4 linked regions of the Alligator mississippiensis genome follow. The protein of the gene in region 4 purifies or fractionates together with the protein of the main gene of each other region. This does not show direct contact. Links are inferred from orthologs where the notes say so. Each region holds a gene or a part of one and is shown on either strand. Other genes may lie near its edges.

Region 1 (6,878 bases), about 120 Mb from region 4:
AATAATTTAATTTTAGCTTGCTGGGGAATGTAAATTATTTGTTTTGTTCTCACAGTTTGGAAGTCACCAAATAGAGTACATAGAATTCTCTCTCCTAAAATAACTTCTAAAAACCTCAGCCAACTAATTATATACTATTCTACAGCAGGCCTTGAAAGAGCCAATCGTTATTGTTGGTGAATGAGAAACTTTCCTTATCAAGTACAGTGAGATGGAAGACAAGGTGAATCTGATATCTTTTATTAGACCAACCCAAATGGTTGGAGAATAGTTATTAAGCAAGCTTTCGGGTTCAAAAACCCTTCGTCAGGCTAAGGAAGTGTCAGCAGTCGGTGTGTGCTCTTCCTGGATGGAATGAAAAGTAAAGAAGCCAGGGACTGGGCTGGGCTGGGCTGGGCTGGGCTGGGGAGTCAGTTGCCAGGCAGATCGTAATGTATCAAAAATCCAAAGTCTATGTTTAGTCCATGATCTCTAGTATCCAGCAGGTTGATGAAATGGAGCTCATAGGCTCGTCTCTGGGAAGTGCTGTGTAAGTTTCCCTTGAGGATCAGGACTGAGAGATTGGAGAGAGAGTGGCCCTCCTGTGAGAAATGTGCCCTCACCGGTAATTGGGTGTTTCTGTCTTTGATGGATTTCCGGTGTGCATTCATTCCGGTGTGCAGTTGCTGTCTGGTCTCTCCTACATATCTTCCATCAGGGCATTTGGTGCATTGGATGAGGTATATCACATTCCTGGAGGTGCAGCTGTAAGATCCTGGGATGCTGATGGCTCTGTTGTGGGGTGTAGTAATAGTGGAGGTGGTGGAGATGTGGGGGCAGGTTTTGCATTTCTTGTCATGGCACGGTCTGGATCCTTTTGGTGTGTTCTGGGGTTGAGGAAGTTTGCTTCTGGTGATGAGGTTGGCAAGGTTCGGTGCTTGTCTGAAGGCTAGGATGGGTGGCTCTGGGAAGATCTTTTTTAAGAATAGGGTCTCTTTCTAATATAGGTTGCAATTTTTTGAGGATTTTCCATACAGGTTCAAGGGATGGGTGATAGGTCATAACCAGCGGTGTGCGATTTGTGGGTGTTTTTCTTCTGTACTGCAGCAGTTCTTCACGTGGTATCCAGGTGGCTCTTTCAAACGTGCGATCTACCTCTCTGGAGGAGTGTCCTTGCTGGGTGAAAGCTTTTTTAAGATTGGTGAGGTGGCGATCTCGGGTGTTCTCTTCAGTACAGATGCGGTGGTATCTGAGGGCTTGGCTGTATATCACAGCTTTTTTGGTGTGTTTCGGGTGATTGCTGGTTCTGTGCAGGTATGTATGTTGGTCTGTGGGTTTCTTGTATACTGTGGTCTGTATTTTACCCTTCTAGATACTGATCATTGTGTCTAAAAAGGGGATGTTGGTGCTGGAGTATTCTAAAGAAAGTCGGATGGAGGGATGGTGACTGTTGAATTTCTGGTGGAACTCAATCAGAGATTGCAGGTTCTCACTCCAAATGATGAAGATGTCATCGATGTATCCTAGGTATAGTAAGGGTTTGATGGTGCAGTTCTTGAGGAAGTCTTCCAGGTGGCTCATAAAAAGGTTGGCATACTGTGGGGCCATTTTAGTGCCCATAGCTGTTCCCATCATTTGGAGGAAGTGTTATTAGACGTGAAATTTTTGTGTGTGAGGATGAAGTGTATAAGCTCAGTAATGTCTTTGGGTCTGTATTCTGGGTTGTAATCTTGTTCCTGTAGATATGTAAGGCAGGCTTGGATGCCATCCTGGTGTGGGATGTTGGTATATAGGCTGGTAATGTCCATGGTGGCTAGGAGTAAGGCCTAAATTTCTGTCCAGAAAAATACCCTAATAAAATACTTCAATGTGGAGAACTAGAAGAATTCTTCCAACACCTGCGCCTCAAAGAATATTTCCACGACCAAACTGAACCCACTCCCAACAACTCATCCTCTGACAACATTCAGGAAAGGATCAATGTCAAAAAGCCCAAAAAAATATCAGATTGGACACCTCGCAGTAGACGAAACCCTAACCTTGACCGCTACATTGACACCAACTGCTGAAGCTTCCTTAGCCTGACGAAGGGTTTTTGAACCCGAAAGCTTGCTTAATAACTATTCTCCAACCATTTGGGTTGGTCTAATAAAAGATATCAAATTCACCCAAGGAACCTTGTCTGCCTATGTCCTTAGACCAACACGGCTACAACCCAAACCCCTGTGAGATGGAAGATGCATTTTCATTAATGTTTCTATCATGTGGTCACATACACACAAAACCCCCAAACTTGCCAAACATTATTGGATTAGTCCAGTCTTTCTGCATCTATATTTGGCCTGATTTATTGAGTCCGGTTTATTCAGCCTGGCTTATTCAGTCCTTCTGCATCTATATTCAGCCTGGTTTAATGCCCCAGGAACAGCAAACAGCACTACATTTTCACTGAACTACTTCTCAGGACTTGATGGCTACCAGCGAAACTATCAGTTAATTCTGTTCCATTGCTGGGGAAAAGCTCAGTAACAGCAAACACGCTGGACTGACGCAGGGACGAGGACTAAAAAAAAATGTTAGTGGAAGTAGGACTGGAAGAGACACGTTAAGTCACTGAGTCTAACCCCCTGCTACATAACCCCCTTCTTAAGTGGATCAAGCTCCATCATAAAATGCTTTTACCCCCATTAGCCCTATTCAGAGGCTACTGTGTAGACACCGTATACTAAAGTTACTCACAGGCAACAAGGTCTTTGGGTAATAAAAGTTTTTTTCCAACTATTTTTTTAAGGAACATTTGGATGCTTATCTGCTGGGATCCTTTGACCTTAGCTGACTTTCTGCCCTTTGGGCAGGGGGCTGGACCCAATGATCTTATGAGGTCCCTTCTAGCCCTAATGTCTATGAAATTTATGAAAAGATATTGAATTTACCACCTTGTCTGCATATATCCTTAGACCAACACAGCTACAGCCTACACCCCTGACAGTCACTCACAGGCACAGCAGAAGAGAGAGCATCCCCGCCCCCAGAAATATTAACACAGGGACTGGGAGTGTGGGGAAAGGATAACGCTGAAGCCAGCTCCTTAGTCCCAGTTCCTTGTTTCCAACTCATCACAGACACAATTAAAGGCTGGCAGCGATGAACTGGACAAGCGAAAGAGTTCGAACGTGACGAGAAATAATCCCAGCCGGATCTCAACTCTTTATTCAGGGCTGCGTACTTGAAACACGACACGATTTCACATTTGTATTAGTAAATATACTAATAAAAAACTTATTAGTCAATATACTAATAACAACAAAAAACTCTTCGGCTTGTCGACCTCATCGCGACCGGTCTTCCATGGCGCGCAAGATCGGCGTTGAAAAAGGAACCGGGAATCAGGAACCGACAACTTCAGCCGCCCTCCCGGGGAAGGGACGGGCAGCAGCACAGCGCCTCCCCGCGCCGAAAGAGCGGAGCAGGGCCGGACCCCTCGCGGCGGCGGAGCTGGAGCTGGAGCCGGAGCCAAGCCGGGCCCGGCCGGGCCGGGCCGGGCCGGGTGCGAAGAGCAGCAACAGCAGCCGCCGCCGCCCCGGGCGCAGACCGCCCCCTGCGCGGGGAAGAGCAGCGCTAGCTCTCCCATCAGGGCGCGCGCGGGAAGCCGGGGGCGGCCGGCCGGCTGCGACCCCGCCTCCCGGGCAAGGGGTGGGGCGGGGCGACCCCGCCCAGCCGCCAGCTCCGGAGTGTGACGTTGCCGCGGGGACCCCGCCCCCGGTGACGGGAAGGGGGAACGTTGGTGCCACGTGACGCGCAGCAGCCAATGGCGAGGCGGCGTGCCAGCCCTGCCGGGCGCAAGGGAGGGGTGTGGGTGGGAGGGGGAAGAGGCCGCGGCCGCCGCCGGGAGCCGGAGCGGGGGGAGCGGCAGCGCGGAGCGGGGACCCCGGAGGCCGCGCCGCTGCGGCCCGGCGCTGACCGCCGGCCATGCCGAATAAAAACAAGAAGGAGAAAGTGAGGGGGGCCGGGGGGGCAGCGCGGAGCGAGCCCGTGGCGGGGAGGGGGCGCGGGCCCCCCGGGGGAGGGGCGAGGAGCTGCCTACGGAGGCTGGCGAGGGACGCGGAGGGGCGTCCCGCTCCCGGCGCTAGGGGGAGGCGGAGCCTAATCCCGGGGATGCTGGCGGGGAGCTCCTTGCCTCAGTTTCCCCGCGAGGGGTGGTGCCCAAGGAAGGGCTAGGGCTGGGACGAGCACAGCCCTGCTCGGCAGCAGCCGGGGCCCCCTTCACCCGCCTCGTGCCGTTATTTCTAATGTCAAAATCAGCCCCCAGCCCCGAGTCTGGCTGCAGGAGGGGAGTCGCAGCATGCCACGGGCCTCAGTTTCCCCAGGGTTTGTGGTGGGAGGTGACTTGGGCACAACCCGCCTCCTCCTCCTCCCTTCAGGGCTGCCCTGAGGTAACCAGGTCCAGCCTGTTCCATCCCTGGTCCGGTGCAAGCGACTTGCCCTAGTTGCCCTGGCTTCATGGGTGAGGCTGGTGCAGCCCCGGGGGGGAACCTGCCTTTTTCCGCCAAGGCGAGAAATGGGGCAGAAGCTGGAAGCGCTGTGACGAGCCTTCTTCATTTGCAGGAGCCTGTGAAATCGGGGAAGAGCGGGAAGAGCGGCAAAGATGGGCAGGATAACCAAGAGCATGAGGTAAATGTCATGAAGGCGCGGCATCTTCCCAAACGTGACGCGGTCTTCCCAGATAATGAACGGAAGGAAGCTGCCTCGTACGGAGCGCGGCCGAGTTCCTGGTGATGGGACGGGGAGGGGACCCGCGCGGAGGTCAGGAAACTATGAAGGTTCCTTTGAGGGAGGACAAGAGATCTGTCGAGCTGCTTGCAACTCATGGGAAACGCTCTCAAGGTGTTTCTCGAATTAAAATAGACTGGGTGGACTTCGTGGCTTGCTTTGTGCTTTCAAGAACCCATCGCTTTTCTTCTTTTGCTTTTGTCTGCCTTCATCAGCTATTTGGGGCATAACTCTTATCCTTGCCTTAGCCTTCTAGTCAGGTAATGGGCTTGCCTTTTTTTTTTAAAGCTGCCTACTCAGATTTTTTCACCTGTTAGTTTATCTTCCTCCACAGTTTCCAAAAGCTAGCATCTAGTTCAAGAGAGCCCATCAGTAGCCTGTTTCAAGCTGGACTTGAATGTTTCTAGTTCGTAGCATCCACCTTTCTGTATCTAATGATTTTGCTTTTTATAACCATCTACTGAAGTGTTTCACTTCTGACTGACAGTTCTGCTATTGCTGCTGCTTTGTTCCTTTTATCATCTTGCTGCCTTGCTCTCAGCTCTGCCCACCAGCTAGGTATGATGGTTTCAAAGGGGTCAATTAAATTGTTACTCACACTCCTTCCCACAGAACCTGAAAACATCCCATTAATAGAATCTCTCTGTTTGGAAATTCCAAACCCTGTAATGTTTTAGTGAGTTCTGAAATTCCTTAAAATACATTCACGCTAACCTGAACATATACTTTCACTGAAAAATCCCATGTCTTCCATGTTCCATGGGTGTGTTTGTTATGTCTTTGCTCAAAACATTTCTTTGCTGCATTATGATGTAAACAAACTGTTTGCATTTTTATCCTGCAGAGCAAGTGCTCTATTTGTAGGGAGCTTCATTGAGATTTTATCTGTGTTGCAGATAAAAATATTGTATAAGGTGCATCTTACCAGTATTAGTTTATTCATAGCAAACTGCTAAGTAACCAAATCATAAATGCTCACTGATTAATCTGCATTAAGTTTTGAAATTTGGTCAAGGGAAATAGGCTTTAACAGTAGCTGAAGTTTCTCAATATGAAATAACATTTGCAATAGTTTGCAATAATTTCATTTTATAAATACTCAGTCTCCCCTGCTTGAGTTGCCTAGCTTCAACTTAATTGTATGACATTTAAAGAAACACTTTTTTTTTTTTTTTACTAGGGTTGCACTTCATTAGCAATTATGACAAAAAAAGGTTTTTAAAATCAGTGTCTTTATAGTATATAACTGGACTAGTTTATCCAAGTTGCCCTTATAGAAGAGATTTCTAGGAACTTTTTAATTGACACTTGTTGCTGAGATCAGCTTTCATTTTTTTCCCAATTACTGTGAGCAAACTATAACAAGTTCTCAAATTTTAAGTAAGAGGTGAGAGTTTCAAACACTGAATAGCTTGCATGTGTGGTTTGTTGTGATTTCTTACTGTATTTGCTAATCAAATTTCTGGGTTATTTCTATATGTGAAATTTCCTGCCAGGCAAACCTTGCTGAGGAAGAGCATGCTGTTCTGCTTCAGCATGTAGCTTTTTGTAAAGTAATATATGGAAGAGCAACCCAGACACCATCTTTTTAGGTCCCTGAGGATGCCTTGTGGTACAGGAGGGGGAGAGTGGGATGGGAAAGGAACTGGAATACTGAAAAGGATGTAGTCTGAAAATGTGATGTGCTTTAGCATCTCCAACCAGCATGGTCTAACCAAAAGATCTTGAAGACATGAACACTTTAATGTATCAGCAACATTATTGACAGAATAATTGTATTATAGTATGATATAAACTTAACATTTTTAGAATAAACATTTAGTATACATTTTGGTTACAATCTGCTATGTACATGCAGAGAAAATAGCTTACTGATCAAAGGCAGGTCCTGCCAGACCAACCTGATGGCCTTTTATGACCAGGTAACTAAATCCCTGGATGATAGTGTCGCTGTGGACGTAGTCTTTCTGGACTTTAAGAAGGCTTTTGACACTGTCTCTCACCCCATTCTCATTAATAAATTGAGTGACTGTGGCATTGATGCCTACACAGTTGGATGGGTCAAAAATTGGCTGATGGGGCGCACCCAGAGAGTGGTGGTGGACGGGTTGTACTCAGCCTGGTGGGAT
Region 2 (7,667 bases), about 120 Mb from region 4:
GTGCCCTGTGCAGTCCCCATGGCCTGCGGCTGGCAGGACTGTGGTCCTCAGACACTCAAAAGTCCAATAGTCCTGGTCTACAACACAGAAGGAAATGCTTTTGAGAGAGCTCTTGGGAATGGCAGCTACTCCCAAACAACAACACCCCGCATATACGCATCTTGAAATTTATCTATGCTGTAAGAATAATCTTGGCTGGCTGCTTCACCGACCCGGAAAAGGGACAAGAGCAGGTAGGAACATGCTCTCAATCTTCAGTAAAAGTAGGAAACTAAGAAATAAGGATGTAATAAGCTTGGATGATGTAGACAAATGAGTAGGTCACTAACTCATTAAAAATTAAGGGAGCAAAGACATGGGGAAATGTAAATACTGGTGGGGTACACGTGTGTAAAGCATGGATGGAAGCAGTTAAACCGCGAAAGAAATATCAGAGCAAAAATAAGATGATTCATCTGCAGATGGTGGTTTTGCTGGTTGAGGATAATAACCACTAAAGAATGTAAACTCTGCTTAGCCATGCGTCTTAAACTTCACAGCTAAAAAGAAAACAGAGCCTTCACATGAAAGAGGAGGGAAATCAAAGTGTAGATCGCCTCTTGTTTCAATTGCAATCGAGACATGTTCCAGTAATAAATAAGGGAGAACATAATTATATGGGTTGGTATTCTTTTCCCATATGGGATTTCAACCAGCCAGTTGACCTGTTTAGGGGCATCTTTTAGGCCAGAGAAGGACTGAAATGCTGGAGGCAGAGGCAGTTGAAGAACGACAGGTGAGAAGAAGAGGAGGCCGGAAGAAGGCTCAGCAGAACCTGACGAGGACAAAGACGACAGGCAGAAAAGGAAACTTAATCAGAAATGGAAAAATGTGAGAGGAGTGCCAGAAGCAGGGAATCAAATTAGAGAGAAAAAAGGGTTCCGCATAAGAAACTGTACGATCTAGAAAGTGAGAGAAGTGTCCAGACAGAAGGTGGTGGACATCCAGCCACACAGGTGAGCAATCTCCTACCTCACTGCATTGACTGTATAGGAATAAGCTTCCCTCCTAGTATCTAAAAAACCCCAAAACAATTAGGCATTGATTGCACTTCTGCCAGCGACAGCTATACTCTTCAAATGCCCGCTCCACATGTATAAATGGCAGGTATAGGCTGTATTCAGAACCCCACACAGCAGCTTCTACTGCATCTATCATGATGGAAACAAGACACTGTAATAACACACATTAAAAAAATGGGTGCAACACTCACTAAAACAAATCTCCAGAATAAAGTCAAAACTAAAAATATAAGGGGCAAGTCATCTTCGGTGTAAGAAGATTAACTACAACTGCCCAACTCTAGGGATGAATTTGCTTCAAGATGCCTAATGCTAAAATAATACTCCTTGGTACTAGTACCCTTAAATTGACAAGGCAGGTTAATTATTTAAGAGAGCACTCTTTCACTGTTTGTTTACCTTTGTTGCAATTTCTGTTGTCGTGTAGAAGTGCCTGGTTTACATGCTGATTCAGTTCTTGAGATGATGTTACTGATTCCTGGAGGACACTTTCTTTCTAGTCTTTTATTTGATGGTCCGAATCATTAGTTCCCTGGGGATATCAAGTCTTTCGCTGTTCCAGTAAGTAGTAGTAAGCAGGACATGTACAAATAATTCCCAGTGACCATCCTCCTTTCAGCGTATTGAAGATCCTTTAGTAAACCATTAAATAACTCGGACTATAGACACACATTTGAGACAACACAAGCTCCAGCTGAATAAAATTCTGTTTATTACCCAACAGAAAGACTTTCACAAACTTATCAATCCAGCAACCTTGTCTTTAAAAAGTCTCTACATAAAGACCACCAAGGTGTTTGTCCCTTGTGCCAGGCTTGGAAGAAAGGCTCTGTGGCTTCATTTTTTTTCTATTAACACATTTTCTGAATGACAGATGAGGCTGTAAACCTTAAAGCATGCCTCTTGAGCCACTTTCTTGAACCTTGAGGTGGACCACACCTGGGACTCACTGGTGCAGAACAGTTTCTATGTAGGGAAGAGCCCACCAGTATTTTTCTAGTTTTATGGGTGCTGAGATAAACAGATTCTGCTCAATAGAGCACTTGTGCCTTGTAAATCTGGTGTTAAGGAATGCTCTTTTAAACATTTTCTTTGAAAATCTGTTTTAAAAGTTAGTAGAGAGTTAAACTTGGCAGCAAGAAAGTATGTAGGGTTTTTTGGTTTTGTTCATGCTCCCAGACGGTGCAGCCCCTTCTGGGCAGTAGTTTTAGTGTTCCCCACTGGGTTATCACCTGGTACATTGTAAATGTTCTAAATTACAGTCCCAAGACGCATCCATTTGCTTTTTTTAATTCTTGGAGGACAATTGGAAGACTTATACATGTGTACAAGCTTTTCCTTGAAGCGTTAATGACATCTGAGCATTACTTGTTGAGTTAAATCATTTTATTTCTTGCTACATGACACTCAACAAACGAACATGTATTTGTGAAATTTTCTACTTCCTTCTGCCTGAAGGCCGTACACTTCAGCTTTTCAGAAACAATACATTTTGTAATGTTGACCAAGGGTTTGAAGAGGAGAAAGAAGTAACATCCCTTTAAAATATCAGCAGATTTTCATGAGCGTGGGACTCTCCAGCTACAGACTGAATGCCCCTTAAACATGTGAATGAATACAGACTTCTTCTGTTAAAGGAATATAAGTAGTCATGGGAAATGACCAGAAAATTAGCAATAAAACAATCTGAGCACAAAAAACCCAAGGTGGTAGAAAGTTTGCTGACCAGACGATACAAAAAGGGAAAAAAAAAAATTTAAAATTAAAAAAAACCAAAACCTGTTAAGACTCATGTATTCTTGAAGGGTTCATCGGTACATCTTGAGTATTATAAGAAGTCATTTGATAAGAAACATGCCTGTTGCTGTTAAAATGCATCATCATGCATAGTGTTTTGTTAAATGGCATGTATATAAAGCATCTACCCACTTTCTGGTGTAAATTTGTAGCAATAAGCTCTTTAACAATTTTATAAAAATGGCACGACAGGAAGATTAGTAGAATCAGCACCTGAAAAAAAGTGCATTTTGGTAGTCCTGTTATCAGTAGGAACTTATTTTTTTTTTTTTTTTTTTAGCAACAAACATTTACATAGCACTTCAAATCTATACATCACAAAGCACTTTACACTACGAGGTAAATACATGGCTCCACTTTTTAGATGGGGATACTGAGGCAGGAATATTTCAAATAAATGGTCAAATGTCACCTAGTAGGCCAGTGGCCAAGGGTTCTCTAAATAGTAGTCTATGTTATTTCACCCTTTAAGCAACCCAGAACATCTTCCTTCACGAACAGATTGTGTTTCATGTAGCTTTTGTGTGCACAGGAATCTAGCTCAATCTTGGTATGAAGGACACTGAATAAATAAATCTGGTTAATTTGGAGAACTTAATTTAAGTGACATATGTAACTGATTCACAGAACAGGGCATTAAGTGAAAAACTGGTCTAGCACACAACTAAAGCAGATCACATTTTTAGGGCAAACTCAACCAGTTTACCTTATTGCTGCAAAGTACCACAGGACACAAAGTTGATTTAAGTGGGGATTGCACCTTTGTAGCTAGATGGGGTTAGTTACACCAGTGACAAGAGACACAAAAATCTGTGTCTGCACGTTTGTGCTGAGCTCCAGCCAGGGAGCAGAGGGGAGAGGCTAGCTCTGCAATGGAGCCCAGAGCATGCTGGGGTTGTCTGGCTTATCTTAAACCAGCAAGGGGTCTGGGACAGACATTGCATAAACTGGCTTGATCCAAATCAGTTAAGTCTGATACTACATTCAACCAGCTGCATCTCAAACTGGTTTCAGCCATTTTCAAACTGGGTTATGTGCACTGAACATTTGTTACAGGTTTTAACCAGTTTCTGATCCCTTAAACTGGTTTGTGTGTAATGTCTGTCCCTAGCCCCAGCGTCTGCGGGAGCTGATGTAAGAGAAAGAGCAGCTGCAGAGGGACTGTAGGGCAGGGGCGGGCAATTGTTTCGGGCGGAGGGCCGCTTACTGAGTTTTGGCAAGCCATCAAGGGCCACATGACAGGCAGCCAGGGGCAGATAAATATTAATTTTCTAAGTTTTTTGGGGGGCCTTGTGGGCTGGATAGAGTGGCCTGGCGGGCCGCATCTGGCCCACCCCTGCTGTAGGGTGATCGTGTACTGGAGCTAGGGACAGACATTACACGTAAACCGGTTTAAGGGATCAGAAACAGGTTTGAGCCAAATCAGTTAAGTCTGATACTACATCCAACTAGGTTCATTTCAAACCAGTTTCCGCCATTTTCAAGCTGGTTTATGCGCGCCGAACATCTGTTCTGTTACAGATTTAAACCAGTTTCTGATCATTCACACCGGTTTGCGTGTCATGCCCGTCCCTAGCCCTGAAGTTCAGGGCACATAAATCGCTTTAAAAAAAACGGCTGAAACCAGTGAAAGTTAACGCGGATAGACGCGACACCAGACTCGGCGGATTTAGATTAAATTGGTTTATTGAACGTCTGTCCCCGATCCCCTCCAGAGGCAAGTTAACTCGCAGTCCCCCAGCATCCCAGGATGCTTTGCGCCTCCCCGCAGCCGCCCCTCGTCTGCTCCAGCCCAGCAGGGAGGCTGCTCTAGCGCCCCCCGGCTTCCGGCCTGGGCCACCGCACTCACGCGCCTGCCTCTCCCGATCCAGGGTTGGCTCCGTCTCGGCCCGCGGACGAACCGGCTCGAGGCCGGCTCGCGACCCCCTGCGCCCGGCGTAAGTGCCCGCCCGAGGGGGCGGCGAGGCCGGGGCACGGAGGAGCCGCAGGCAGCGCCGGGCCGACCCCACTTCCTCCAGCCCCAGGGAGGCCCCAGCGCCTGGGGCGGACAGGCCGCCGGGCAAGGAGGGAAGACAACCGCCGCCAGCCCCACGGCGGCCATGGCGGGGGCGTCAACGAGGCGGCGCGTGGCGTCACGTCACGTCACGTCGCGGCGGCGGCAGCACGTTGGGTTGTGAGCGAGCGAGCGAGCGGGCGGGCGGGGGGAGGGAGGAGGAGGAGCGGGTGCTGTGAGAGCGCGAGCGCGAGTGCCATGGCCGGAGCCCCGCGCCGCTGACAATAGGAGCCCGCGCCCGCCCCGGACCCGCCGCTGCCACCGCCGCCGCCGCCTCGCCCCCGCCGCGCGCAGCCTCCGCCGGGAATGTGAGAGAGGCCGCGGGCCGCGCAGCCAGGCCGCCGCCGCCTCCCGCACCGGGCCCAGGCCTGCCGCCTCCACCCGCCGCCGCCGCCGCCGCCTCCCGCCCCGCCGCCGCGCCCGGCCCGGCCCGGCCCGCACCGCACCGCTCCCCCGCGCCGCCCCCTCCGCCTTCTCTGCCAGGAGGGCCAAGGTAACGCTGCCCCCGGGGGAGGAGCTGCAGACGCCCCCGGCCCGCCGGGGAGGGGAGCGGGCGAGGCTGGGGCAAGGCGAGGGCGAGGGCCAGGTGAGGGCGGCTCCTCCTGCCTCCGCCCCTCAGGGAGCCCCCAGGTCCCCTTCCCCTGGCAGGGCCGGCGGGCCAGGGGGCGAGCGCACCGTGGGGCAGACCCCCTGCCCATCCCGGCGAGGCGGCACCTGTCTCCGGAGCATCTCTTCGGAGCCTCGAAGCCCGCCACGGCCCGGGCGCGCCATGCAGGGCGCAGCCGTCGGGGCGGTCGCGAAGCAGCGCCCGCCCCGGGGGCAAAAAACGAAAGAGGATAAATGGTCTCTTTTTTAAAGATGATGCCAGCGTCCCAGCTTGGCATCCTCGGATGCCGCTCGGTCCTTTGAAGCGAGGAGTTTGATGTTTTCGGCGGACCCGGACTTTGTTACGTGCCCGCACGCGGCCTCGCAGCAAACCCGTCGTCTTTCTACGCACGCTTATACCGTCATAAAGAAAATAATAAGAGCCTCCTTCTAAAGCGTAAATCACACGAGTTGATTTAAATCTATTGTATTTGTCTGCGGTAGACCGGTCCCTCAACACAATAGCTATTTGAAGGTGCTCTGTAACATCGGCTCCCAGTAGCAGTAGGTGACCCTCTGATAAATGGAAGCCAGCAGTCGTTTGGGGTGATTAACACCTTCCAAGCTCGTGCTTTAAGCCCCCACTTTTGCATGTGCTTACATGTAAGCTTCACTCGATTACCGTGCGTGTTGCCATTGAAATACTGCTCAGAGCAGCAAAGTTAAACGTACATAAGCACTGGTAGGATTCATATCTAAATCTCTTCCCCTTACATCTTTCTTTTTCACTGAGAAGATACCACGGGACTTTTTGACAGAGAAGACAGCAAGGCTGGCAAAAAGCAAGAGACTGGTTGTTGAATCAACTCTTTCAGTATTTCCTTGTAATTTTGTAAAAGTAGCATGGAATCTGCTCAGGAATACTGGAACGTGAAACTGGAGATACGCAAAGAGATTCACAGTGTAAAAGCTGGGTATTTCTAAAGTGGAGAATAAATGACTAATGTAGTAAGTCTGTCAAGCTTAGTACGTTTCGTTGATGTTTTGAAGCTTAATGATGTTGGTTGGCTAAACTTTCATACATTTTTCAACTTATTTTTATGGAAGGCAGTCTGCCTATTTTATTTGTGCTCCATGGTATATTAATTGTCTACTAAACATCCATGGTTTTGATGGTAAAATTAATTATTTTGCTTGTGCACCCATTAAGGCAGGGGCGGGCAATTGTTGTGGGCGGAGGGCTGCTTACTGAGTTTTGACGAGCCATCGAGGGCCACATGACAGCCAGCCAGGGGCAGATAAATATTAATTTTCTAAATTTTTAGAGGCCCCGCAGGCCAGACAGAGTGGCCTGACGTGTCGCATTCAGCCCCTGGGCCACATTTTGCCCACCCCTGTGTTAAGGAAGAGGTGCTTTAGGGAAGGAAGAAGGAGATCCTGTGGCAACCCAAAGAACGTGTGGTCCTGTAGGCAGATTTTTGCTGACTGACAGATCACCCCTGCATTTGTATGGACTCTTTTTGAAGCCAACAGGTCCCCATGTCAATACAGCAATCGATCTGCCTGGATCCGATTTCAGGATCTGGGCCTAAGTTCAAATATGTAACAAGTGAGTATTCTACAAAATAGGAGAGAGGAAATGAAAGGTTTGCAATAGTACCAGGAATTTATTTTTAAAGTCTGTAAATAAATGAATAGACCATCTCTCTCCTATCCATCTGGCCCACTAATTTTTTCAAGTCCTTGTGGGTGATAGGAGTTTTTAGGAGGGATGTGAAGGAGGTCAAAAGTGACTCTTGGCAAATTCATTTAATCTTTACCTACTTCTGGGCATTGGGAATACGCTTATAACACTTGTTTCTTTTCAGTAGGGATATGTCCTCAGCACCAACCACTCCTCCGTCAGTGGATAAAGTAGACGGATTTTCTCGGAAGTCCGTCAGAAAAGCCAGGCAGAAGAGGTCGCAAAGCTCCTCCCAGTTTAGGTCTCAGGGCAAGCCTATTGAATTAACGCCTCTGCCTCTGCTAAAAGGTAAGGCTCAAGATTTTGTGTGCGATTAAAATAAGTTTTTGGTTTGGTTTTTTTTTTTTTTACAGTTGACTTCAAAATTGTGCTCAAAAGTTTTGTTGTGCCAGAAATTTGAGAGGAAATGTGAGAAAAGGTTCATGAC
Region 3 (6,875 bases), on a different chromosome or scaffold from region 4:
CCTCTGCAGCATTGGATTCCCTGCTCTGCCCGCTTTCCCCGCCTTACTGTCGACCACAGCTTGGCTCTAGTTGGGCTGGATTCAATCCCATAAATAGGTATATGGAAACTCCATCCCTTGCCTGGTCAGTCAACAGAGCTGATACTGCTGTATGGCCTGGCAAGGGCTGTGCTCCCACGTGATGTGCTCCAGGGAGGGAGCAGAGCCTGAGCAGTTTCTAATAGAAATGTGGGGAAGGGGAAAAGGCAGAGACTGCAGGGAGCTGAAAATGAAGGAGCAGAAACTATGGGGAGCAGTGGGGGAAGGGACAGAGACTTCAGGGGGAAGGGACAGAGACTTCAGGAAGCTGGGGGTAGAGGGTGCCAGTGGTGGGGGACAGGGGGCAGGAAGGCTGCAGGGGGAAGAAATGGGGCGGGTGCAGAGGGCAAAGGGGGCACATGATCCTCCAGCCACCTGACTCCCCCAACCACTGCTTTCCCTGCTGCAGCAATGAGAGGGGGACAAATTTAAGACAGTCTTCCAATAATTAGATTCTATACCTGGAAAATTATAACAAATTTATAAATTTTCCATATATAGAACCTAATTATGGGTGGGGGGGTCGTCTTAAATTCATGGTTGACTTAGATTTGAGTAAATGACATATTTTAACTTTCAGATATTAGATATTCTCTTAGAACAGCCACTATATTGTATTAATTATTACTATTATTCAAATGTCTACTTTAAGTCATCTCTCAGTGAAGAAGATGGATACATTCTGCATAAGCTGGAACAAAATGAAGCACATTTCTGTTAATTGCACATTAAGACTGAAATAGAAAACACATGCCATGGTACCCGTATTTATTGAGTCAGCTGAGATATAGGAATAGTAATCAGAAGATGAGTTTTGAAAGGGAAGTCCAATGTCAGGTCTAAGTACAAGTACTCAGGAAGGGTACATTTTAAAGCTTTTTGTAACATTAGCCAGCCAGGTTTGACTTGTACATTTCTAGCAAGCGCAAGTCTCCAGGGGTAGACATACTGTTGAAAGAGACCAGATACAGTGTATACAAGCTCCTTCCTTGGGTCAACCAATGTACCTATTCCTAGTGTTCACAGGTGTCTATGTTAATTGATTATCTTGCCCAAAATGCTATCTGCATCAATGAAGACACAGTGGGACTGATTCCTCTCTCCCTTAAAACTGTGTATATCTTAGCACATCCTATTCAAGTCAGCAAAGGTATGTTGAACTTGCACTAACACGCATAAGACTGTGACCTTGTGTACTTTTTACAGATGTTTTATTTTCTTTCCATGAATTCTGTCTTCTCCCACTGGGAGATCTTATTGCCAGTTTCAACAAGGGGCATAATTTCTGTGTGGATGATATCCAACTCTGCAACTCTTGTCAACTCACTCTCTGATTCCTCGATTGCACCTGTCTTCATCTATCAATCAACAGATGACTAAACCATCATTAAGGAATGCTTCAAAGGCATTTAAAATATTTTAAAAGTCTTCTTTGTTCTATGTCTCTGACTGTATCTCTCTTATCTCAGTCTTTTGCAATAATCTTATTATCCATGGCAATACACTTTTTTCTTTTCACATCTTAAGTCTGCTTTCCATTACCTCCATGGAGTTCACGGTCCTTACCTCTACCTCAACTTTGTGTATCTAAAATGCCTTAGTTCCCATCTTGCATAATGCAATTCAGTTTTTGGAACTGTATTTTGGTCTTTGGAAAATCTTGTCTTTAAACTTCATCATCCACCGAGCAGGAACCAACGACTACCTAACTCCAGAAAGTGGGGATCTTCTCCAGGTGCCTATCAGCTTTAAGGTTTACAACTGTCACTGTATAATACTACTTACACCAGTTGTGATATTTTTGGTAGAAGACTATCAGATTATTAATATGGGAATTGCTTTCCTGGTCTTTGTGACTTCTGTTGAGTTCGAGAACCTTATTACTCCTTTGTTCTTCCAATATTTCTTCCCTCCTCTCCTCAAAGCTGGGGAAGTGAGCCTACTCTTTCAGTAGCCTAGTTTAATTCCATCTGAAACGTTCTCCATCCCCTCATATCACTGAATCATTCTTTTATTTTTACTTTGCTACTGTTTCATGTGGGCAATATACAGAGGAAAGAACACTTTCTAGCAGGCCCCTGTTCTGAATTCCTGACATTTCAAAGATTACCAGAGCAGTCTACAACTATCACGACCACTATCAGCACCACAGATGTCAATGGCAGCCATAGCAATAGGTTTAGCTTAAATCCTTTGGGTTTCTTTCATTGTAAAGCATTAGTAATATGGTTTAAATAAAATGCAATCACATAAGGAAAATTGGTGCTGGGAGTAGGGATCTGAAGTGAAAATACAGAGGGCCTACAGCTATACTGAGTGGCCAAAATGTGAGTTTAAATTTGTGTGGGGGAAGAGATGAGGATGTGCCCCTAGAATTCCTTCCTAGTGCTAGGCCTACCAAGAAAGATCCAGTAACATAGTGGTGAAATATCTAGGTGTGACACTACAAGTATTTTGAAGCTGAAGGGCACAAGAAAGAGATAAGGGGACTTTAAAGCCAGAGGACCTCAATAACATGTGGATATGCCTGAATTTTGTAAAAAAGATGGTCTTACATAAGTGGTGACCAACCTTTTTGCCCCATAGTGCCAGGTCCCTCCCCAGGCAGGATGCATCTGGTGGGCCTGATCCAGCTGTGGGGTGTTGCTCAGCGTAACTCTGATCCATCCACCTGGGTTGGGGATGGATGGGGATAGGACAGAGGCCCCGATACAGATGGTTGGGGAGGGTGGGGTGAAGCAAGCTTGATATAGACACATGGGGAGGGAGCAGGGGTAGTGGAGAAGCCCCGATCCAGACATGCAGGTAGGGAGGCAACCTGGCAAGGGTGGGGGGGGAGCATCCTAGCCCAATCTGGACTGGAGGTGGGGAAGCAGGCCTGACTGAGCCCACTGTGTGGGCAATGGCCCAAGGAGGCTGGAGCTGGCTGTGTCGTGCATCTGCTGCACCCTGCTGTTAAATGTTTGGAGCCAGGGGAGATCCCTCTGGGCTGAATGTCACAGGCCAGACACTGAGCATCCCTGCCCTCCACGCAAGCTACTGTCCCACTAACTTTTGCCCTTCCCTTCCCCATCCTGCTCAAGGTTTGAATTACTGGGGAGCAGGAGAGGGCTGAGAGCGCCCTGCTGTAAGATTTGAAAATCATAAGGGGGGGGGCTCTGATCTTATTAGGGCATGCATGGGCAGCCCAGTTGTTTTTGCAGACCACCCCCTCCCCCAAGACTTAAAGTGTAATTTGAACACTGATCCTCCTCCTAGCCTGAGCAACTGCAACCATTTCCCAACAGAAAGGCCCAGGGGCCTATGTAATTGCCTTTCATGCAGGCTTGGGCTCGCTTACTGGATTGGACCAGCTGGGAACAACCAAGGGAAAACCCACGGGGACAGCGCCCTCCGCCCCACGGGCCAAGGAAATGGGTCAGCTCTAAGGCGGAGGCACGTGTAAACGGAGCAAAGTGCGGGCTCCCAGCGGCGCTCTATGCCCCACCCTAGGGGCATGGCCATGGGGGTGATACTGCACAGCCTGCTGGGAAAAGAGAACGCGGGAAAGCCTCCGAGAGAGAGCTGGGGGCGGGAAGACGGCGGGGTGGTGACGTCACAACACAGAAGCCAGAACCGACGCGGTCCAGCCCCGCAAAGTTCCTTTCCCGCCCTCCCGTCGCCACGGCAACCGGCCGCAGCTTCTTTCTCGTCGGAGGCGTCTCGCGAGACTTGCCCGCTGTCTAAAATAGAGCATTCGGGGCGGGACGAAGAGGGCCGGAAGTGAGGTGCCGATTTGAAGGCGGTGGCGGGAGGAGCCGGAGCTCGGGGAGGTGAATTGGGAGGTGTCGGAAGCTCTCTCCCCCCTTAGTGCAACAGTTCCCTCCGGCCCGGCCCGGTGGGGCCTGCGCTTGGAGGTGGGTCCGGGGGGGCGAGAGGGAGCGGCGGTTTGTCCCCCGGTTCCTAACGGCTTCGGGCGTGGCCGGAGGTCCCGCCCCGCCCGGGCCCGAGTCCGCCTGAGGGGCGGGGCGGGGCGGTGCAGGTGCCGCGGCTCCCTGCGCGCACGTGCGGAGCAGGCAGTTGAAGGGAAGACGGACGCGGGCTTTAAACGGCTCTAGAACGCGAGCACCGCGACTGGGGAGGCGCGGCACTGGTACCCGAAGCCTCCTGCCTCAAGCGGCTGCGGAGTATATGCGCTTGGGGCGTATCAGCTGGGGGCGGGGCTTTGGTGAGAGACCCTGTGGGATGTACCAACAGGTGGTGGAGGGGGCTCTAGCAAGACAGTGCAACAGGTGGCAGAGGGGGTCGATCTAGAGAGAGACATTGGAGTGTACCAACTGGTTGCAGAGAGGCTTCTAGGGAGAGACTTTGTGGGACCTAATGTACCTGGCTGGCTCTTTGTATAGCTGGACAGTCACTTTAATTGTGTGATTATGTCTTCAAATGGCATGTGTGGCCAGTCTAAATTTATTGCACAGTTGAGTAGTTAATTGTGTAATACCGGTTTCTCTAGCTTTATGCTGTATGTATGTTCCTGGAAAATGGTGCATAATTCGAATTCACATAAAAGGAATACAGTTTACAATGTAACAAATAGGGATGCATTCCAAGACTTTGACTGTGCTGACCCCCAGACCCAGAGAAGGTGTTGAAGGGTCTTCAGTGTCAGATTCCATATCGCTGGTAGGATGTATAGGCAGGGTAACATCCATAGGAGAATCAACAGGCACAAGGCTCTCATCACCCTCCAACACCAGTGGGGAGAGGATGGGGGTAGCTGAGTGAGGCTTCAAGAACTGGAACATCCACACTAAGGAGACTAAATTTTGGTGTGCGTCACTCCCATAATGCATCACACAAAGCTGACTGCAGGCTTCCACCACACCAGTTGCATAAGAGTGAATTTACCTTGTATATAACGAATTTTTGGTATAAAAAGGGTTATCGCAAAAGAGTAAATTTGCACGTATAGAAACGCAATAAAGTGAGGGAAACCTGTATATGTAATGTGTAGCAGGGGCCTTGCAAATACTGTGTCCTATCATGTCTTCCAATTTGAGTTGGTGTATTACAAACAATAAGCAGTGAGCAGTGTTACTTCATTGCACGTGGGTTTTCCTAGTAGATGAGGAAATCAAGGTGCGAGTTTAGGTAACTTGTCCAAGGTTATCAAGTAATCCACCTAAATGACCAACATCGAACAACTTTGATTCTGTTCTCACTGTTTAGTTCTAGCCTTCTGCTTCCTGCCTCATATTGTGGCCTCTCAAGAAGTGAGAATGATGCAAAGCCCAAAGGCCTTGTAGCCATATCAACAGAGTAAGTCTGGGTAGGATAAGTCAGCCTATTCTGGGTGTGGGCTAGACCAGTGGTTTTCAACTTTTTTTGTACCAGGACCCACTTGTAAACATTGATAGCCAGTCCTGTCCCAGTGCCCCTCACTCCTGACTTGCCCTCTGCCCCCAGGTTCCAGCCCCTAAAGGTATGGGGAAAGGGGTGGGTGTGTGGGGTGGGAGGGGCATGGGGGGCCCCAAGCAGCCCTGGTTTCCCATGGTTTTTCTTTACAGGTAAATCCATTTTGAAACTGTTGATGCAGTTTTAAAGCTTGTTTGTGACCCTTTCATATAGTCTTGTGACACACTTCTAAGTCATGACCCATGGGTTGAGAAACACTGGCCTAGATAATCCACCCCAAGTCAGAAGCAGGTGGGTGCCAAGACTCAGCTGCTGCTTTTGTTTCTGTGGCAGCATGGAGAGAGCTCCCTCACAGCCAAAACCCTACATCTGTAGACTAGATTCAGTGGTTTTTGTGGACCAAATCCGGCCTGCCAGCCAGATATTCCCAACTCCTGGGCCTTGCCATCACTTGAATGATAGCATGAGAATCCCCAGAGTGAATGCTGGCAGTCTTTCTGCTGCAAGCATTACGCCAGCTGTGCCCACAAAAGGGGTTTTGCCAGTCTAGCTGTGTCAACCACTAATTTTTTTTTCCCCCATACCCATGTTATTAGCTGATGGCACTCTAATGTAGATTAAGCTTGGGTTTCAGTTATTTTTATGAACTATAAAGGTTAAAAATCCATTAAAACATACAAAACTTTCAAATTGTGTCTCCATATTTATTAAATGAACTAAATTAAGTTTGAAGATGATACCCATAACTTACCTGTATACATTTGATAAAAAAACCTCACTTATATTGATAGATAACTTTAAAATGTTGTGTCTTTGTTATCACTTTAAGGCAGTGGTTCTTCAACTTTTTAGACTCAAGGCACCCCAAGGTGGACTCGAAGAATCCCTTGGAGAATATCAGCTCTGTTTCATTCACTTTGACTACAGAAAAACAGTAGAGTAATTCTATTGCAAAGAACTCTGACCACAAATGATCAAAATGTTTTTAAGACTGTGGATTCCTTTCGGAAATCTGTGTTTATCATGTGAAATAATGTTTGCACTCTTAACAGTTCTGTGGCACCCCACAACACCCCTAAAAGGATCTCAAAGCATTGACACCCGGGTTGAGAATCTGCATTCAGACAATGAGAAGTTGGAGAATTAAGACTGAACCTTCACCCTTGAATGTTTGATTCCCCAATGTTAATGATTTTTTTTAAAATGCTAAATTCCCTAAAACACGAACTAATGGAGTTACATTGCTTATTGTAGTAGTTTTCTGGAGTCGTAGCCAGCCTTTTGAAGAACTATCCATCATCACCAAAGAAAAGACCTTAAAACTCTCTGTCTTCACAGAGAGAGATGGAGAAAGCTGCCAATGTTTGACAAACCAGATCAATGTTTACCTTATGTGGTGTATA
Region 4 (6,837 bases):
TACCATTAGAGCAGTAAGATTCTGAAACAAATTTCCAATGGGTATAGTGGGGGGCAAAGGAAAATATCTACTTTAAAGATGGAGCTTAGTATGTTTATGAAGGGGATAATCATAGAGGGAGAAAAAATTATTTGGAGGACGGGGAGGGCTGAGCATGTGTGCAGACCATGGGGGAGCAGATTGAAGCCCCAGTGGTGAGGGAGGGAGTGGGGCAGAGGCTGGGATGAATGGGGCCCCAGTGGGGTTGGGTGGTGGGACAATCGGAACTTGGGCTGCTCGTCCAGGGGCGCAAGCGGGATCCTGTCATTGTGTGCACCTTGGTGCAGGCCCAGGTGGCATGTGCCCCCTCATCTATGTGCGGGGCAGAGGCAGCTGCCACTGAGTGCTGGGCTTTGCTCCTTGCTGCAGCTGCACTGGGAACAATGCGACACCATGTGCATCCACCCATGTCCCTGGATGTGCCGCCAGGCTCTGATTGTCCCACGACCCAGCCTGGCCAGGGCCCCATTCACCCCACCCCCTGTCCCTGCTCTACTCCCTCCCACACTGATCTGTTCGCCCCCCCCAACTCCTTCCCCTTCACAAAGGAAGTAGGCTGAAACTTGCCTGCTGTGCTGGGCAGCCACACACTGGGGCTGCGATCCTAGCTGCATATCTGAGTGTGCACATCCCTCTCCTCTCTGCTGCAGCAGCCCAGAGCCTGCATCTGGGCTGCCCTGAAGCCCTACCTGCTGCCTTGCGTTTGAGGGGGCTAAGCCCTATTAGCTCTGGCCTTCTACCACCTATGGAGATAATGTGAGAGGGCCTTGCAATGGCTGTGGGTTACACTCGGTGACACATGTCCTTTCAAGCACTATGTTTCCTAAAACAAGGGAGGAGGGAGTTGTGTGTATAAATGGTAGAGCACCTGTGGATGGAGGCCTTCTGACACACACACATGGATTCTGTCAACTACACCTTTGAGATGCTCTGAGGTACTCTTATACCTTCAGGTGTCTCCTTCAGCTCCAAACCCCTCTCTGGCATCTGCTGCTTGACTACTGGGACCACCCAAGGGTGCCTTAACTTTACCAATCTCACCCAGGTCCTATTAGCTCTTGGCTGAGGAAGTTTTGCCAGCTTAAGAATCATACTTATTATCTAGCATGTGCTTAGAAAATACTGACCCTCTCCTTTGGAGAAAAGACCTACCTGTTTGCTCAAATGCTCTGAACTCATAGTTACCACACAGACGGTAAGTTATAAAAGATAACAAAAAGATTTATTAGAAAAACAAATGAAAACAGAAGAATCAGTAACTGTATGCTGCATACAGACAGAGATATGAAAATAAACCAATAACTAAGATCTCTGATTTATTCTTTTCTCTGCATCTTAGCCCCTCCAGCTTCTACTTATGACCAAGCCAAAGTCTCTGCTAATCTGTGAGCTCATGTTGCCTAGCCCTAGGTCATGTTGGCCACAGGAGGGACCAGAGCACCCAATGCCTGAGAAACTTTAGTTGCCATGGCAACTCTTAAATACTTGTCCTTATCAGATGGTTTACACTTCTCTACTGAATTTTCAGGAAACATATATTGTGCATACAACTTCCTGCTTCTGGGTATCTGACTGGCAGGTTGGGTGTGATTCCTGATCTAACTATAACAAGGAAATACCAGATATGAAGACTGCTAATTCCATATCCTTGGTTTTCAATTACCTTAGTACATTATAAACTTTGTCTTATTCTCCCTACTGTGAGAAATACAAATCTTCCTATTAGATTGTTTTTAGGTGTTACCTTGGCTACTCTTCCCTTTAAAATGTCAGTTCATCTTTGGAATGGCCAGACGCAAGTGTCTGGGATTAGTCCACAAAGGCCTATCCGGCCAATGATTAAGCTTAGCCAACTCTGATGCAAATTCTTAGTCAACCCTTCCTAAGTAATACTATAAAAATATAAGAATACATTCATATCAAATACCATAATTCATACAAACATATGAATGACAAAAGCCAGGTACAGCTTCTCTCAAGTTATCTGTACATGCCATAAAGCAAATCTAATTCAGGAAAACATGCATGACGTTCCATGAACATTGGGGGTTTGTGACAGAGCTTAAATAGTTGCATTAGTATTGGGGTCTGTAGTGAGGATGCATGTATAAGAAATGGGGGGAGGAAAAATGCGTGTTATGGTTGGTGATGTACCTTGGGAGGAGAAATGGGCTGTGGAGCACACTTAGAGAAGAAAACTGACTTAGTGTAAAGGGATGTGTGGTGAGGCTATAGTTTAGGACAGAGTTGTCCAATTGGTAGCCCATGGGCTCTAACCAAGGCACAGCTCCCCCATCACTCCTGCTGCTGCTTCCGCTGCTACCACAGCTATGGCTATTGGGGGTCTCGGGGCTCCCCTCCAGCTTCTACTTCCTGCCACTTCCTCTAAACCTGGGAACTGGGCAGGGCAGCCTGCTGGGCCCACACAGTTGGGGGGCCTGGAGAGTCTGTACAGCATGAAGTCCTAAGCCACTCAGAAGTTGGACAGCCCTAGTTTGGGCATGGGGCTGTGGGTGGCAGAGAGGTGCATTGGTGTGTTTAGAGCAAGGGTGGCCAAAATTCAGACCACAGGTCAAATCCAGCCTGCCAAGGGATTTTGTCTGGCTCATGGCAGGTCTTTCAGCCCCTCCTGATCCAGGTGTGGGAGGAAGACTGGGCCATGGCTTATGTGGCCAGTTCTGCTGCCCCTGGGTGCACCGCAGGGCTGGGGCAGCACAGCAGCTGGACTCACTTCCCAGCAGCCCCTGCAGCAGCTGGATGCAGGTGGGGTCTCCACGGAAACCAGCCCGGACCTGTGTGGGCAGGGCAGGCTGCTGAGTGCATGTGATGGGGCTGCTGCCAGGCAGGGAGCATCCAGAACCAGGACCATAGGGTGCTCGCAGTGCAGGGGCAGAGCCAAGGGCAGAGCCACAAGCCACTGCCTGCATGTCCCTGCGATGGGGTCCCTGCGGTTCCCCAGGCAGAGGCATGCAGGGAGCAGATTACAGCTCTGCCCCAGGCCTGGGCCCTGACCCCGTGCTGCCGTGGCCCTGCAGTCCTGATCCCAGCCCCAGCCCTGCCCCCAGCCCGTCCTCCTCCCAGATGCTGTTCCCCACAGGGCAGCAGCCCCAGCCCATCTGCCCAGCCATGTGCCCTGTCTGCACGGGTCCTGGCCAGTCTCCATGGAGACCCTGGGCATGACAATGTGGGGCCAGGCCTGGGGCAGAGCCACGATCGGCAATCCGCTCCCCACATGCCCCTGCCCAGGGAACGGGTGCCCATGGTAGCGGTATGCAAGGAGCGGTCCCGGCTCTGCCGGGGGCCCTGGCCCCACACTGCCATCGCCCACCCATCGTGCTCCTGCTGGCTGCCGCTCCCTGCCTGCTTGCGGCCTGAACGCGGGGCAGAGCACTTAGGAAGCTTCGGTGAGCTGTGGCCGCGGGAGGGGGTGCCCACCAAAACTCCCAAAGAGGTCCTCCAGCCCAAATAATTGCCCACCACGGTGTGTTTAGAAGAGTCGTGGTGCGGGCGGAAGGGGCAGTAGGGCCCTTGATGGGTGCAGCGTGACATGAAGGGAAGGAGAGGTGCGGGGTCAGCTCTGCAGGTGGCAAAAGGACGACCGGTAGAGACCGCGGCCCAAGGTACAGCTGAGCCATTGCCCTGCGGGCTCCCTGGGCACAGGACGGGTCGGAGCGCGCGCATGCGCTTACGGAAGCGGCCTCTATCTCCTGCGCCGCCGCGGGCGGGCCGGAAAGTGCGCCGCGCCGGGCGGAGGAGGGGCCGGAAGTGCGCAGCGCGGCGGCAGCCATTACGCGGCGCGGGCCGAGACCGGGTGCGGAGCGGGCTTCGTGCCGCCGTCGTTGGCCGTGAGCGTTGGCTAGGCCTGGGCCGCGCGGGAGCCCGCGGCGGGCAGCGCCGCCGCCATGGAGGAGAAGGGCTTCGCCAAGGAGCTGGACCAGTGGATCGAGCAGCTCAATGAGTGCAAGCAGCTGAGCGAGAGCCAGGTCCGCAGCCTCTGCGAGAAGGTGAGTGCGGCCTTGCCCCGCCCCGACACTCCGCGCCGCTGCCGTTGGATCTGCGCGCCTGTGGGCCGGGTTCCCCCGCCGCTGCAGCGGGAGATCCGCGCTTCCTTCCCGGCCGGGGCAGCAGCACCCCCAGCCGCCAGCGCCGCGTCACCCCGCTGGAAGGGCATTCCCGCCCGAGCCGGCGGGGGCTGAGGGAGAAGCGCAGAGAGCCGCGGTCCGGCTTTGAGGGGCCGGGTACAGACGCGCGGTGCCCGGAGAAACAAGCTCAGGTGAGGACTGGATCCTGCCCTCGTCCCGATGCAAAAAACCCTCTAAACTCAGACATTCAGCACTGTGGCTCCACATCATGGCACGTCTCTTTCGCCTTGCCTGCTGTGTGGGTATGTCAGGATAGGGAGGCTCTTCTCCAGGTCCTCTGTGTGCGTTTCTCCCTGTGTCGCAGAAGGGGAGGCCAAGGCAAAGTGACATAGGTTAGCCAGCAGCTGAGCTGAGACTAGTCTCCAGGTCGTGTGAATGCAAGTCAGGTTCTGTCTACAGCACAGTGTTGCTCAAAAGAAATCAAAGAAACTTTTGCTAGGCAAGAGCCCAACTAAGGTACCCAAATGTCCTTAACTCTGTCAATGATACAGTGCGCTTGAGGTATTTAGAGGTCTGTGGCATAACATTTGCATAGAATTCATTTGTAGACATGTTTGTGCTGTCTTATACCCTCTGTTTATCACAGGCTACGTTGGAAAGCTGAGGCTGTTTGAGTACCCCAACTACCTTTTTAGTATCCTGTAGAGAAGAATGGGGGGTGCTTATTTCTGGGTCTCTCTGCCCTGGTTATTCAGGCCCTTCCAATGCTCCTGTGGTAGTCTGCATTGGAATCAACTCGGTAGTCCAAGCCAGCAGCCAGTAGTGAAACCTTTTAAAAGTCAGAGCTAAACGATCTTATGTGTGTCATTTTGGGGGGTTTTTAGGAAAGTTAAAACCAACAGAATTATTGCATACAACTGGCTATAAAGGAAAAATAGTTATGAGTTATCTTTTGTCACAATTGCTCTGTTGAAGGTTTAGGTGAATTAGTGTCAAAAGACCCTGTTTATGGCTTGTAAATCTTAGTAATTATGTACAATTGCTAATAGTTTAATTTTAATTTGTTGAGATATGCCTTATGCATGGGGCTTTTTAATTAATTAACCTTTTATATGGAAAGTTGATGGCTTGTTCTGTCAAAATTCATCTCCTCAAAGGTTACTGCCATAAGTGCCAAATTTCTTAAACCATTTACTTTTATTTAAATTGTATTGTGAGCAAAGCTTCAGAAAAATTATTTTGTCCTTGCGGTAAGCTTGAGCATGATATGATTTTTTTTTTTCTCCATAAGTAAGGTTTTGAATACCTGCTCAAAGTACAAAGAAAAATACTTGTGGTAATTAGGTTTCTTTAAACTTATCTTAATTTGTATATAACATTTACTTAAACTTTGAAAAATGTTTAATTACTATACTTTTATTTCTTTTCAGTTAATGGTGTTGACTAGTTCTCCCCACCAGGTCTATTGTCCTAAGACTGTGGTAGCCAACTAATGTTTAGTCTTGTAACTTAAAGCTAGGTAGATAAGGAATTTTTAATTGGATGATGACTAAGCCAAGTGAACAAAGTTCACATATAATTCAGGGGGAAATAACTTATAATTGTTAGAGTATTTCATCAACTTTTTTGGTCACCTCAACAGGGGTTGCAAACAGCCCATAGCATAATTTGACTATAATTTCTAGTTGAGGCTTGTAGTTACCTGCAAGACAAAATACTAATGAATAAATATTGGATGCTATAAAACTGCTTCCTGTGCTAGTTATGAAAAACAGGCTGAACTTTGGAGGCTTGTCTATCACTGGTGATATAAGAATCTTCCTTGGCATGGTAATAGTTATGGGGACAGAATTCTATTTCTGTGGTACCTTTAATTGTCTCTGTCTCTATGTGTCTCATGCAAGCAACTTTTGAGCCAACTGCTTAGACTTTCATGCCCTCACCTGTGGGGATATAGGATAGTATGACTCCAGTTGCCTTTAATTCTCTTTTATCCAAGTCGGTGATGGGGACTTAGTAATGTCCACTATGCTCGTTGACCTCACAAAATAGCTTTTAAATTCCATTTTAGTTCTTAACGTACTTCATAAATTGATATAGGTCTGTGAACAAATCTTAAGATTGGCAGTCTTTTGTGCCTGCAAACCAGTAATTAGGCAGTAGACATTCTTCATACTGGAATGAAATTTAATGGACGTAGAAACAAACATTTGTGGCAAAAGTAGGAACAACAAAAGGATGGAGTTCAATACTGACAAATGCAAGATGCTACATGTAGGGAAGAATAATCAAAAGCACAAATACAGAATGGGTGATAACTGGCTTGATGGTAGCCCTGGAAAGAGTAGGTTTTTTTGGCCCTGGTGGGTTACAGACTTGGTACGAGTCAGGATGTCACGCACTACAAAAAAATGCAATTTGGCTTGCAGCAACAGAAATATAGGGTGTAAGAAGGATGATAGTGCTACTCTATCTGGCACTGGTTAGGCCTCACCTAGAATGTACAGTTTTGGGCTCCACATTTTTAAAAAGGATATGTAGAAGGAAGGGTGGTGGGCAATAAAATGATAAATGGTTTGGAAGACAAGGTATACAAGGAAAGGTTGAGAGAACTAGGCATCTTTAACTTGCAGCAAAGGTGATTAAGGTGGGAGACATAGTCTTCAAATACCTTGAGTGCTGTTATAAAGAGGGAAAATACTTTTCTTACTTCATT

What was found.
Region 1: the proteins of PPP2CB (region 4) and PPP2R5C purify together in Homo sapiens (affinity purification with mass spectrometry; 3 studies listed by BioGRID and IntAct, counting the BioPlex papers as one, with this or other methods). This does not show direct contact. The link is inferred for Alligator mississippiensis from reciprocal best matches to the Homo sapiens genes PPP2CB and PPP2R5C.
Region 2: the proteins of PPP2CB (region 4) and PPP2R5E purify together in Homo sapiens (affinity purification with mass spectrometry; 5 studies listed by BioGRID and IntAct, counting the BioPlex papers as one, with this or other methods). This does not show direct contact. The link is inferred for Alligator mississippiensis from reciprocal best matches to the Homo sapiens genes PPP2CB and PPP2R5E.
Region 3: the proteins of PPP2CB (region 4) and PPP2R3B purify together in Homo sapiens (affinity purification with mass spectrometry; 3 studies listed by BioGRID and IntAct, counting the BioPlex papers as one, with this or other methods). This does not show direct contact. The link is inferred for Alligator mississippiensis from reciprocal best matches to the Homo sapiens genes PPP2CB and PPP2R3B.

What each region holds. Positions count from the first base shown.
Region 1 is NC_081825.1:284,640,206-284,647,083, forward strand, and holds the start of PPP2R5C (serine/threonine-protein phosphatase 2A 56 kDa regulatory subunit gamma isoform), read left to right. Parts: upstream 1-3,857; 5' UTR 3,858-3,948; coding exon 3,949-3,975; intron 3,976-4,584; coding exon 4,585-4,650; intron 4,651-6,878.
Region 2 is NC_081825.1:292,128,047-292,135,713, forward strand, and holds the start of PPP2R5E (serine/threonine-protein phosphatase 2A 56 kDa regulatory subunit epsilon isoform), read left to right. Parts: upstream 1-4,656; 5' UTR 4,657-4,795; intron 4,796-5,076; exon of another isoform or gene 5,077-5,404; intron 5,405-7,364; 5' UTR 7,365-7,371; coding exon 7,372-7,528; intron 7,529-7,667. UniProt on the Homo sapiens protein: The B regulatory subunit might modulate substrate selectivity and catalytic activity, and might also direct the localization of the catalytic enzyme to a particular subcellular compartment.
Region 3 is NC_081824.1:337,986,117-337,992,991, forward strand, and holds the start of PPP2R3B (serine/threonine-protein phosphatase 2A regulatory subunit B'' subunit beta), read left to right. Parts: upstream 1-3,851; 5' UTR 3,852-3,974; intron 3,975-4,175; exon of another isoform or gene 4,176-4,285; intron 4,286-5,286; 5' UTR 5,287-5,376; intron 5,377-6,875. UniProt on the Homo sapiens protein: The B regulatory subunit might modulate substrate selectivity and catalytic activity, and might also direct the localization of the catalytic enzyme to a particular subcellular compartment.
Region 4 is NC_081825.1:168,614,440-168,621,276, reverse strand, and holds the start of PPP2CB (serine/threonine-protein phosphatase 2A catalytic subunit beta isoform), read left to right. Parts: upstream 1-3,814; 5' UTR 3,815-3,941; coding exon 3,942-4,043; intron 4,044-6,837.